2 linked regions of the Drosophila melanogaster genome follow. The protein of the gene in region 1 interacts with the protein of each later gene in a pairwise test. Each region holds a gene or a part of one and is shown in the gene's direction. Other genes may lie near its edges. The genes, in order: Tsp42El and Osi15.

The links.
Region 2: the proteins of Tsp42El (region 1) and Osi15 interact in a two-hybrid assay, tested with the Drosophila melanogaster proteins (one large-scale study listed by BioGRID).

The regions. Positions count from the first base shown.
Region 1 is NT_033778.4:7,043,711-7,049,038, forward strand, and holds Tsp42El (tetraspanin 42El), read left to right. Parts: upstream 1-2,058; 5' UTR 2,059-2,243; coding exon 2,244-2,303; intron 2,304-3,566; coding exon 3,567-3,725; intron 3,726-3,790; coding exon 3,791-3,946; intron 3,947-4,262; coding exon 4,263-4,469; intron 4,470-4,533; coding exon 4,534-4,605; 3' UTR 4,606-4,828; downstream 4,829-5,328. Other genes in the region: Tsp42Ek (tetraspanin 42Ek), read left to right, coding at 8-166, 236-397, 499-693, 750-821.
Region 2 is NT_033777.3:6,299,684-6,304,236, forward strand, and holds Osi15 (osiris 15), read left to right. Parts: upstream 1-2,120; 5' UTR 2,121-2,229; coding exon 2,230-2,548; intron 2,549-3,108; coding exon 3,109-3,261; intron 3,262-3,319; coding exon 3,320-3,492; 3' UTR 3,493-3,970; downstream 3,971-4,553. Other genes in the region: Osi14 (osiris 14), read left to right, coding at 276-481, 536-894; CG46396 (uncharacterized protein), read left to right, coding at 4,359-4,553.

The DNA.
Region 1 (5,328 bases):
TCTGTAGCTTTCGGGTCTATCCCTGATAGCCATTGCAACGTTGGCCCTCTCGAAAGCCCCTATCGCCTACATTCTGTTTCTATATGGACTCGGTGGCATTATCTTCGTTTCGGCTGTACTGGGATGCTGTGGAATCTGCATGGAGAACGTGTGCATGACCGCAACGGTGAGTGGAAACGCTATGTCATCCGTTTGGTAATTCACTCACTCTATGTTGTGTGTTGTATGTCAACAGTACGGCTTCTTGCTGTTGGCTCAGCTAATAATCAGCTTGCTAGGCATCTTCCGCTTCAAGTTCACTGAGGAATACATAGAGAAGTTCGCCGCCGAGGAGGTTCAGATGAAATGGGACGAGGAGCTGGTGGAACCCGGCGCCATGGACATTTACCAGACAGTGGTTCGTATTCTGGCGAAGATCATTCGCATCATGCACTTTTAATCGAATATATTTAATATGCTGGCATTATCGTTTATCATTTTTATGAATTATCTTAACAGTACGAGTGTTGTGGGCGTGATAGCCCCGACGACTACGTGGCCATCGGTCGTCAAACCTTGCCGCCCAGCTGCTATCCCCAGGAGGACCCCCAGATGCCCCACTATCTAGCTGGTTGCGTCCAAAAGTCCAGTGAGAACTTTGTGGTGCTCTTCAGCTACGCCCACGATACCAACTGGATAGCACTGGGAATAACCGTGAGTGAAATGTGTGAACTACACATGGAGGGACTAATCTTACAGAGTTTTTACAGATTCTAATGATGATTGCCGCCTTTTACTTGGTCGGAAGATTCAGGAAGCAGCGCGTTCGCTACACCTACTAAGGAATACTTTCGTAGAATTCTGAATATATTATTAGGGCGCCAATATTCCTTTACAGTAATCTTGTATAAAGTTTTTGATGCTCCCAGGAGAAATAAAAGCGTATCCCGATGAAACGAATACTTCCGATTATACAAAGGGTTCAATCCGAACTGATTAAAATTGTGATTTTTAAACTAGTAACTTTGTATTTGTAACTATGTATTTGCCTAACAGGGTCAGTTCAGCTGTCTTTCGGTATATAGCTCCTATACTTTTAAGATTCACACAAAGTGAGCAATGCATTTAGGGTTTCTATTTTGATAGTGGAAGTCAGGATCCTGCACTCCGCATCGGAAACTGAGCTCATCCGGTGATGTTGATGGCGTCATTCAGTGCCGAGTGTCTGACGCAATCGAGCTGAATCAATCTTACCGGCATTAATTCGATCGTTGGTAAATTGCTTTGAGAGGCGGTGGTCGATTAGACCCAACTCCGCTCTCGATAAGACACACACCGCGGCTAAACATCTGGCAAACGGAGACATATAGATTTCGCTTCAGTTCTGTCAAGCATAACCAGCTCCACGCTTCGAACTTTCCCGCCTCAGTTTCTGTTTGGCTTCCGAATGGCGGGAGCCGCACTAGAGTGCCACCGCCACCTTTAACTTTCTTGATTTGCCTACTGCGAGTGCAGGCGAATTCGGCTAAATGGATTTTAGTCACTCGAAGTATATTAATTGACAAATCAATATAACAAGATAGTGATATATTTTGTAACCTCTCATTTTAATAACATCTATGGTATCAACGAAAATCAATACAATAAGCAATGAACTTTTGCTATCGTCTGGGAGCGGGTTATTGAGGTTCTACTGTATAGTAATGTGTGTGCCCGGCTGCTTTTGTTTGCTTTAACAAACACTGCTAGCTGGCACTGTGGGGCACATCATTTTAACTCAATCACTGTTCAATTGTGAAAATGAATTTAAAAGAATCAATTTCGTAGAGCTTGCTTAGAGAAGATATTTGATTAAAAATTGATTACGTATTTCATATTCGTACAGGAAGTCCATATCATTTGATTCGTGCCGAAACACTCTGCATTGCCTTAAGTATTAGGAGCAGTGTTCGTCACTATAATTTTGGTGCTCCATGAACAGCTGCTATTCTATTCATTGAACCCACGGTGCAGAAGCGGCAGCTTTGGAGCTTCGGACCGCTCGACTCGGATCGGATTCCGAGCGAGAGAGTTTTCGGGGAGCTCAGTTTGCTCGTGACCGTGGCCGCACCAGTGCGCACTCCTAACCGATTCAGTCAGGTTCCGCCGATACGGACTCAAAAACTGAAAATAATCGGCGGCACAGCAAACTGCCGCACTTGTGGCACTGCGATTCGGTTGCATTCTAGCCAAAGGCAAAAGTTTGAAGTGGAAAAACATTCGAAATGGGTTGCGCAACGGGCACCATAAAGTACTCGCTGTTCCTGTTCAATGCCTTATGGGCGGTAAGTAGAGCACCGAATTGGAATTGGCATATGGTGCCTTGGGAGTCTAAGCGATATATCTGCGTATCTGCCGGTTCTTTTCTACAAATAGCCAGCTAATTGCGATGGTTTGAAATTTGTGTGAGGGGAGCCTCGGTGTTTGGGGTCTATGCTGTCCGTTCCACGTCCACCTGGTCGGTGGATGATATCATCTCGGGTGCGTGTTTGGTTTATGACAACGCTTCGCGGCTGGCTGTGTGTGTTAGCCAGTGTCTATTGTTAATGGCTTCTGCTCGGCCTTTTAGTTCCTTAAGCCAAGAGGAGGGCTTGCTAGCCAAGCGGCGAAACGAGGTTGCTGAAGTGCGTCATGCATTCGGATTTCGTTTGAAAGGCTAATTCGAGCGGAATATGGAAACCGGATTATTCACCAGATAATGATGAAAATAGCGATGAGGCCGAGCTCGACGCATTAGTCGGTGCCCATATGCATCAAAACTTTCTGTGGCCTTCTCAAGGCCGCGATGGTCTGATGTAAGCCCAATCCTAATAGATTGTTGACTGATCCTTTTGGAATTCTTCTTCGACCCTAGAGAGTATACAAATTCTTAATCACACTCTCTAGCCAACTCGGTCTGGTCATGTCCGTTTGTCCGTCTGTCTTTCTGTCCGTATGAACTTCCCACTTCAGCGCTTTTAAAAAAATGTTGTCATGATTCCAAAACGCAGTCGCTCAAACAATTTAAGAGACATTTTTTGTTTTCTTAATTACGTCTATTACTCGTAAAAGCGTATACTATATTTGCTTGAACAGGTCGATCTATAGCCATTTCCGTCTGTCCGTATGAACATGGAGATCTCAGGAACAATAAAAACTAGAAGGTTGTGATTCAGCATGCAGCTTCTAGCGACAAAGACGCAGCGTAAGTTTGCTGACCCATGCTGCCACGCCCACTCTAACGCCCACAAAATCGAGCTTGTCCAAGCTTTTGAACAATTTTTAAATTTTCTCATTTTATTCCCCAATATCTATCGATATTCCAGAAAAAATATAAAAATTAGCGTTCGCATTCACACTAGCTGAGTAACGGGTATCTGATAGTCGGGGAACTCGACTTGTTTTAATCTTTGCTTTTATGCATGTGTGTTTTATAAAAACTTTTAGGGCTAGGCGGTCTGAGATTATAAACCCAATTTTGTTTGGCAATTTTTTACATAGATAGATAATATTCATAATTTAGAGGATGCTGGACATATTTATTGACTATTTAATTTTCTGACTTTTAGATACTCGGTATCCTGGTGCTCATCTTTGGCGGCCTTGGCTGGGGAGCAATGCCAGATGCATATGCCATCGGCATCTTAATTCTGGGCGGTACTATCCTGGTAATATCCCTGTTTGGATGCTGTGGAGCCGTTCGCGAATCGCCGCGCATGCTCTGGACGGTACGTAACTGAATATTGCAATTAGGTGAATCATACATGAGCTAATAATTCTAATTGCCTTGCAGTATGCGTCACTGCTGCTGATTTTGCTGCTACTTATAGTGGCGTTTATCATCCTGAATCCCAAAGATGTATTTAAAAAGTACGCGCTTCAAACGGTGGAGAATCAGTGGGAGCTGGAGCAGACGAAGCCTGGCAGTATGGATATTATTCAGAAAACGGTGAGTGCCAATGTAACAAAGCAAAGGCTAGTTTGTTTGTTCAAATGCTTCCAAAATAAAGATTAAAAGAGTGCTTTAATTTGGAATTTTTTTTGTTATATACATAAGTACATAAGCAAAAGGTAGATAGGCGTTAGGGCCGTGCTCTTTTTTAGCTAGTGTTATCTTACATGGTTTGAATTGAATATAACGCTTTAGCTTATGTTTATTTCTAATAATGTAGTATTAGAAATTGCGCAAAGCTGCTGAAGTACATATTTATGTATGCTTAGCCTTCTCCTTTAATTTTGGTGTTTATATATTTCTATCACTTTAGTACTATTGCTGTGGCCGCGACAGTGCCCAAGACTACTTGGATATCAAATTCTGGAACAATACCGTTCCAAGTAGCTGTTGCAAGGACGACAGCTGTGTGAATCCACTGAATCTATATGTGCGCGGCTGCCTCATCAAAGTGGAGGAGGCTTTTGCAGATGAGGCAACCACTCTGGGCTATTTGGAGTGGGGTCTGCTCGGATTCAACGTAAGAGCTCTTTATTTCTATTACGGTGGAGCAAATTTCTAACTCATTTCTTTATTTCTTATAGGCTGTCATTCTATTGCTGGCCATCATCTTGGCCATTCACTACACCAACCGGCGGAGACGATATAACTATTAGTGAATATTTACTGAATAAGAAACCAAACTCCTCAAATCTAAGTGTCATCAGTGTATGGTTTGTTTTTGATACGAAAACCCAGCGTTACTTGCCAAGCAACTGAGTTAATCTTTTTATTAAAGCAATGTTTAACACATTCGAATATTAAAATAATATGTACATAACTACAAGTACCAAACACATGTCGTTTAAAATACCAAATATATTTAGAAAAATTACTTTCAACAATATTTTCGACAATAATTAAGATTTCAAAATAGGTTCGCGATACCGGTGATACAAAATATTTTGAGTTTTTCACCTTGACCGTCCGTTTGTCCGTCCGTATGAACGTTCTCGATAACTATATAAAATGTTTTAAGTTAGTCCACGCAAAAACAAATTATGAGCACATGTGGAACAAAAAGTTGGAAGCAAAAGCGTTAAGGCTTACATATATATGTTTATGTTTCTCTCCAATGATTCGTGTAAAGGGTATATAATAGTCGAAAGCGGTTTCTTTTTTTCCTATCCATGCACTTTCCTTACAGCGGGCACATCCATCGGAATATGAAAATATTCTTTCTTTTAGCAACATAAACTTCGTGTTTAGAGCCACCTCTCTAAACATTTTACTGAAGTTGAGCGATAGTTTTTTTCAGTGATGTTGTGCGTTGGAGAAAACTGACCACTAGAGGGCTCTTCAAACGAATTGCGCAAACAAAAGTCAAGCGAACTGTTATG
Region 2 (4,553 bases), on another chromosome or scaffold:
AATTAAAAATAAGTTTAGAGAAATTAGTTATTAGATAGTTATATTCTGATACCCATTTTTTATGGTCTTTATAGATTTAAATGGTGAGCCAAGGCTAAGGCTAAAAACACTTCATAATTAATGTTAATTATTATTGGAATTCTTACATAATTCCAAAAATTATGACAGTAAATTTAAAAGTGGTATAATAAGACATTAGAGGCATTCGGCATATAAGTTGTCATAAAAGTTAAGTAAATGTGAAAATGTATTTATAACTTACAATATCATTTTAGGGATCCCGCCAGTCCCGTTTCCCGCACGGGAAAATCGATGAGCGAGCAGGATGTCTATGCCGAGCTGCCCCAGAATGCCGATGAGCGTACTGGTCGTCTAGTGGATCTGGCCGTCTCTAGTGCCGCCGACTTCCTAAGCACCCACAACCTGGAGTTCAAGCTGCCCGCCGAGACCACCCAGCAGGTGGCTCGTGCCCTCGATGAAGGTGGGTTTTGACTTGGGATACGATAAAACATGGTTACCTAACATCCAATCACAGGCCGTGGCAAGATCAAGAAGATGCTGGGACCCGTGGCTCTGGCCATTGGCGCCAAGCTGTTCGCCGTCATTCCCCTGGTGCTCGGGTTTCTGGCCCTGCTGACCTTCAAGGCCGTGATCGTGGCCAAGCTGGCCTTCTTCCTGGCCATTCTGGTCGGCGGATCCCGCCTGCTGGGCGGATTCGGCAACAAGTTCGGAGGTAACTCCTTTGCCGGAGCCTACAACTCGAACGCATGGTCCGCACCCGCCAGCGCCGGCTGGAGCTCGGGAGCCTCCTCGTCCTATCCCTATGCCCGCAGCATCAGCGAGGATGGGTCCGATGCCCAGCAATTGGCCTACGCCGGCCAGCAGCAGCAGTAGAAGCGGCTGGGAGACAGCTCAAACAGATGTGCCTTCGTTTTGAAACCTTTAGCCTGTAGTAATTTATTCGAAATGTAATTAACTAATTTATTGACACACCACGCACACATCACCCGCAAGTCAAGTCGAATGTATGAATAAAACCAAGAGTATTGCACCCGAAAAAAATATAATCCGCAAATCCACGCACGTGGACAGTGCTCACCTGTGCCCAGAGACTTTCCCAGTTTCCCAGGGCTTAATTGAAATGCTGACAGACCCCAAAACAAATATGTGGAACTTTGCTCGCTGGGCGGCAACAAGTTTGCGGCTGGCAATTAAAACTTGTGGCAGGTTCTGTTTCTGAACACAAAAAAAAACCCAAAAGAACACAGAAAATGTTGAGAAAAAGAGCTGATAAGCTGGGGATTTAGTTTTTGGCAAGTTGGTGGCCTGCTCATAATTGGAGTTTCTAGTGGCCATGTGACGGCCGTTCGGCATGTTAATTGTTTGCCAGAAACTTTCTACTTATGCTCATAAAAGTGTCACTTTGCGATTGAAAAGAGATATATGCGGCGATGTGCTACAATTCAGCTTTCTTTCACAGGCAGATTTAGAAGCAATTGAAATAGAAAACAAGCCACGAACGACAGTTGACAAAGGGAGAATGAAATCGAAAGCGTTGAAAGCGCCAGAGTAACTAACTGGGCCAAATTGTGCATTAAGTCACCACCGGCGGGGCATACCAAATACGTGTGGGTCTCGCAGATCCACCACTATATTCTCCGCTCCATCGTGAGCCCTGATGGAGCTAATGGAGAGGAACAACCGGCCAAGAATCTGGCGCAGGCAATCCCAACACGTAGCACCGGCGACTCCATTGAATGCCAATTAGGATACGGATAACGGTCGAGCACCCGAAATCGGGCCACTTGCTTATATAAAATATATGTATGGTATATACAAAAAAATAATATTCAGCCGGCCGACCACTGGCCACTTCCCTTTCGTTGACATCGCGACGTGCGTGGAAATATGGTCAAGAAACTGCCGGCCAGGTAGCATACGCATATGCTTTGCATAAATTGCTTTTGGATTTTTGGTATTGCCGTTCGGTATTGTTATTGTTATTGCAGCGGCGAGCGGTGCGTTTTGGATTTTTGGCCTGCCACGCGATTTCTAGCCACAAAATTGGTCAATCGACGTCAAATCGAAATGGTATAAAACGCGGGGGCAGTGCATTCAATTAATCACAAAGCGATTCCCGTTCACATCGGCAGCACTCACCAGCTCCAGGCAGCCGTCCCACGGATTATAACCTACCCAAAGTCAAGACACCCCCAAGTGCTAATAAAAATGTGCGCGAAATTCGTATGTGTAGTGCTGCTGGCCAGCCTTGTGTGCGGTTCCATGGCCCTTCCCTCCCAGGACAACACCGAGCGGGACCTGGTCAACATGCTGAACCGCTTAGACAGCGAGGAGTCCGTCGCGCTGTTCGGCGGTCTGAGGATCGACCGGTCGGAGTCGGGCCGTAGCTTCGGTGCATCCAAGGCCGTCGAGTCCTTCGAGGACCGCGCCGAGCGCTACCTGGAGACCCACGAGCTAAACCTCTCCTTCTCCGGCGATGAGCAGGACGAGAACTCCGAGAACGAGTACACCGGACGCGCCATGGATGGTGAGTGATCTTGGTTTCCTTTATTTGAAAAACAGAATATAGTTTAATCCAAAGAAAAAAAAGCTATTTAAGCTACTTGCTTTTAAAGTTTTCATATTGCGTTGAATATCTTAGATACTTAATATTAGGTCAGAATTTAAAAATTTGTATGTTTTTGAGAGACATAAATCGATAGAATGGTAGTAAATACGTGAGTTGATAGCCAAAGAATTTTGAAATAATTTTAAACGAGTTATAAGTTACATTTTTATTAATTACTACAAAAACAGAGGCATTCGTGCGCATACGAGAATAGCTTTGGTAAACCGTCCTGGCTCTCAAGTCGTTCCTGTTCTGTACGGTAAACGAACACTTCAAAGTCTACTTACTAAGGCTAAACGTACTAAGGTCCACTCTGCTGTGCAGAAAGCCAACTGCCAAAAGCAAAACTACTAGCATACTCAGTTGTGCTGACGGGAAGCGAAGTGAAAGCTTTACCTCGACTGCCAGGCCTTGAATACTTTTAGGAGCATGGCTAAAACCCCGATTTCTCTTTACTTTCTCCCTCCCGGAATAAACAGAGTCCCGCAGCAAGCGCATGAAGAAGATGCTGCTGCCCCTTCTTTTGGCCCTGAAGCTGAAGAAGGCCGTCGTTGTCAAGATTATGTTCACCATCATCAAGTTCATCTCGCTGAAGGCTCTGGCCATCTCCTTCCTGGCCCTCATCCTGGCTGGTGAGTTTACTTTTAATGATCTCAGGAATAGCACTTTTTACCCACGTTTCCCGCACAGGTGCCACCTTCTTCAAGGATCTGTTGGCCAAGAAGAAGGAACACATCACCACTGCCTACATCACCGGCAGCCCGCTGAACGCCGACATCGTGCACTCCGACTGGAGCCGCAATGGTCAGGCAGGTGCCGCCGATCTGGCCTACAACCACTATGGTCTGGCCCAGCCCTTCTAAGCCGGAAAACACCCACCGATCCATCCATCCCACTCTGTACTAGCCTCTATCTTTCACCTGCTATATCTTATCCTACCAAAGCGTCTCCCTTCTTCAACTTCCCCCCACTTCATCACCATTTCCACAACCTATCCCTCTAAGACTTTCCTGAAGAATGGCCTAATTCGTAGTCAATAATTATTTAGTTACATTTAGTTAGTTAGCTGCGACATACCAAAAAAAATCACAAAAAAAGAGAACTATTGAAACGGTCCCTCGACTCTTGGCTAGCCCAAAGGACAATGCTTAAGGATACTACGGCCAATCAATGATTGCGCCATAATTATTGCACATTTCCCCATCCACATGTCTCTTGGCGGTCGTACATGTCACTCAGGTTCATCGAAAGCAACGAAGATTATGCCTGCTAAAGAGCTTACTTACTAAGTATTTATTCGTACAACTTAAAGCAATTGAATAAAAATGATTCATCAAATGCAAAACCATAGAATCTTTAAACTTTTTGCCCGAGTCGGAAACTTTGGAAATGTACAGGTATTATACTTTTAAAAAGGCAATGACTTGTATAATTTCCGGCTCAAAGCTTCCTTATTGAGTCTCAAAGGTATTTTCTGAAAAATCACTAGGAAGAGTGTGAGCATCAAGCTGGAAAGTGAAATTAGTGGCTTTTACTTAAACACTTTCCTTGAACCTCTTGCAAAAACAAATCCATTGAAGACACATTTCCACTTAATTATATTAGCAAAGTTGAGTTTGGGCCCGTGGCTTTCTTTGCGTCAACTTCCTAATTGATGTTTAATCAAATGTCCCACTTGGCGTTGGTATAAAAACACCACTCATGCTGACCAAAAGTCAACAGAATCAATATGAACGGCTTAAGCAACAAACTCATTGGCTGTCAGATTAAATTCGCCTTGATTGTTGGCCTTTTGGTATCCTTGGCCTGGGCACTTCCTGTCGAGGATGATGGAAAACCCCTCATAACTGAAGATGATGCTGTGAACACCGAGCAGCCAATCGAAGCTGCCCCTGTGGTTGAGGAAGTGGAAAATGTTGGACAG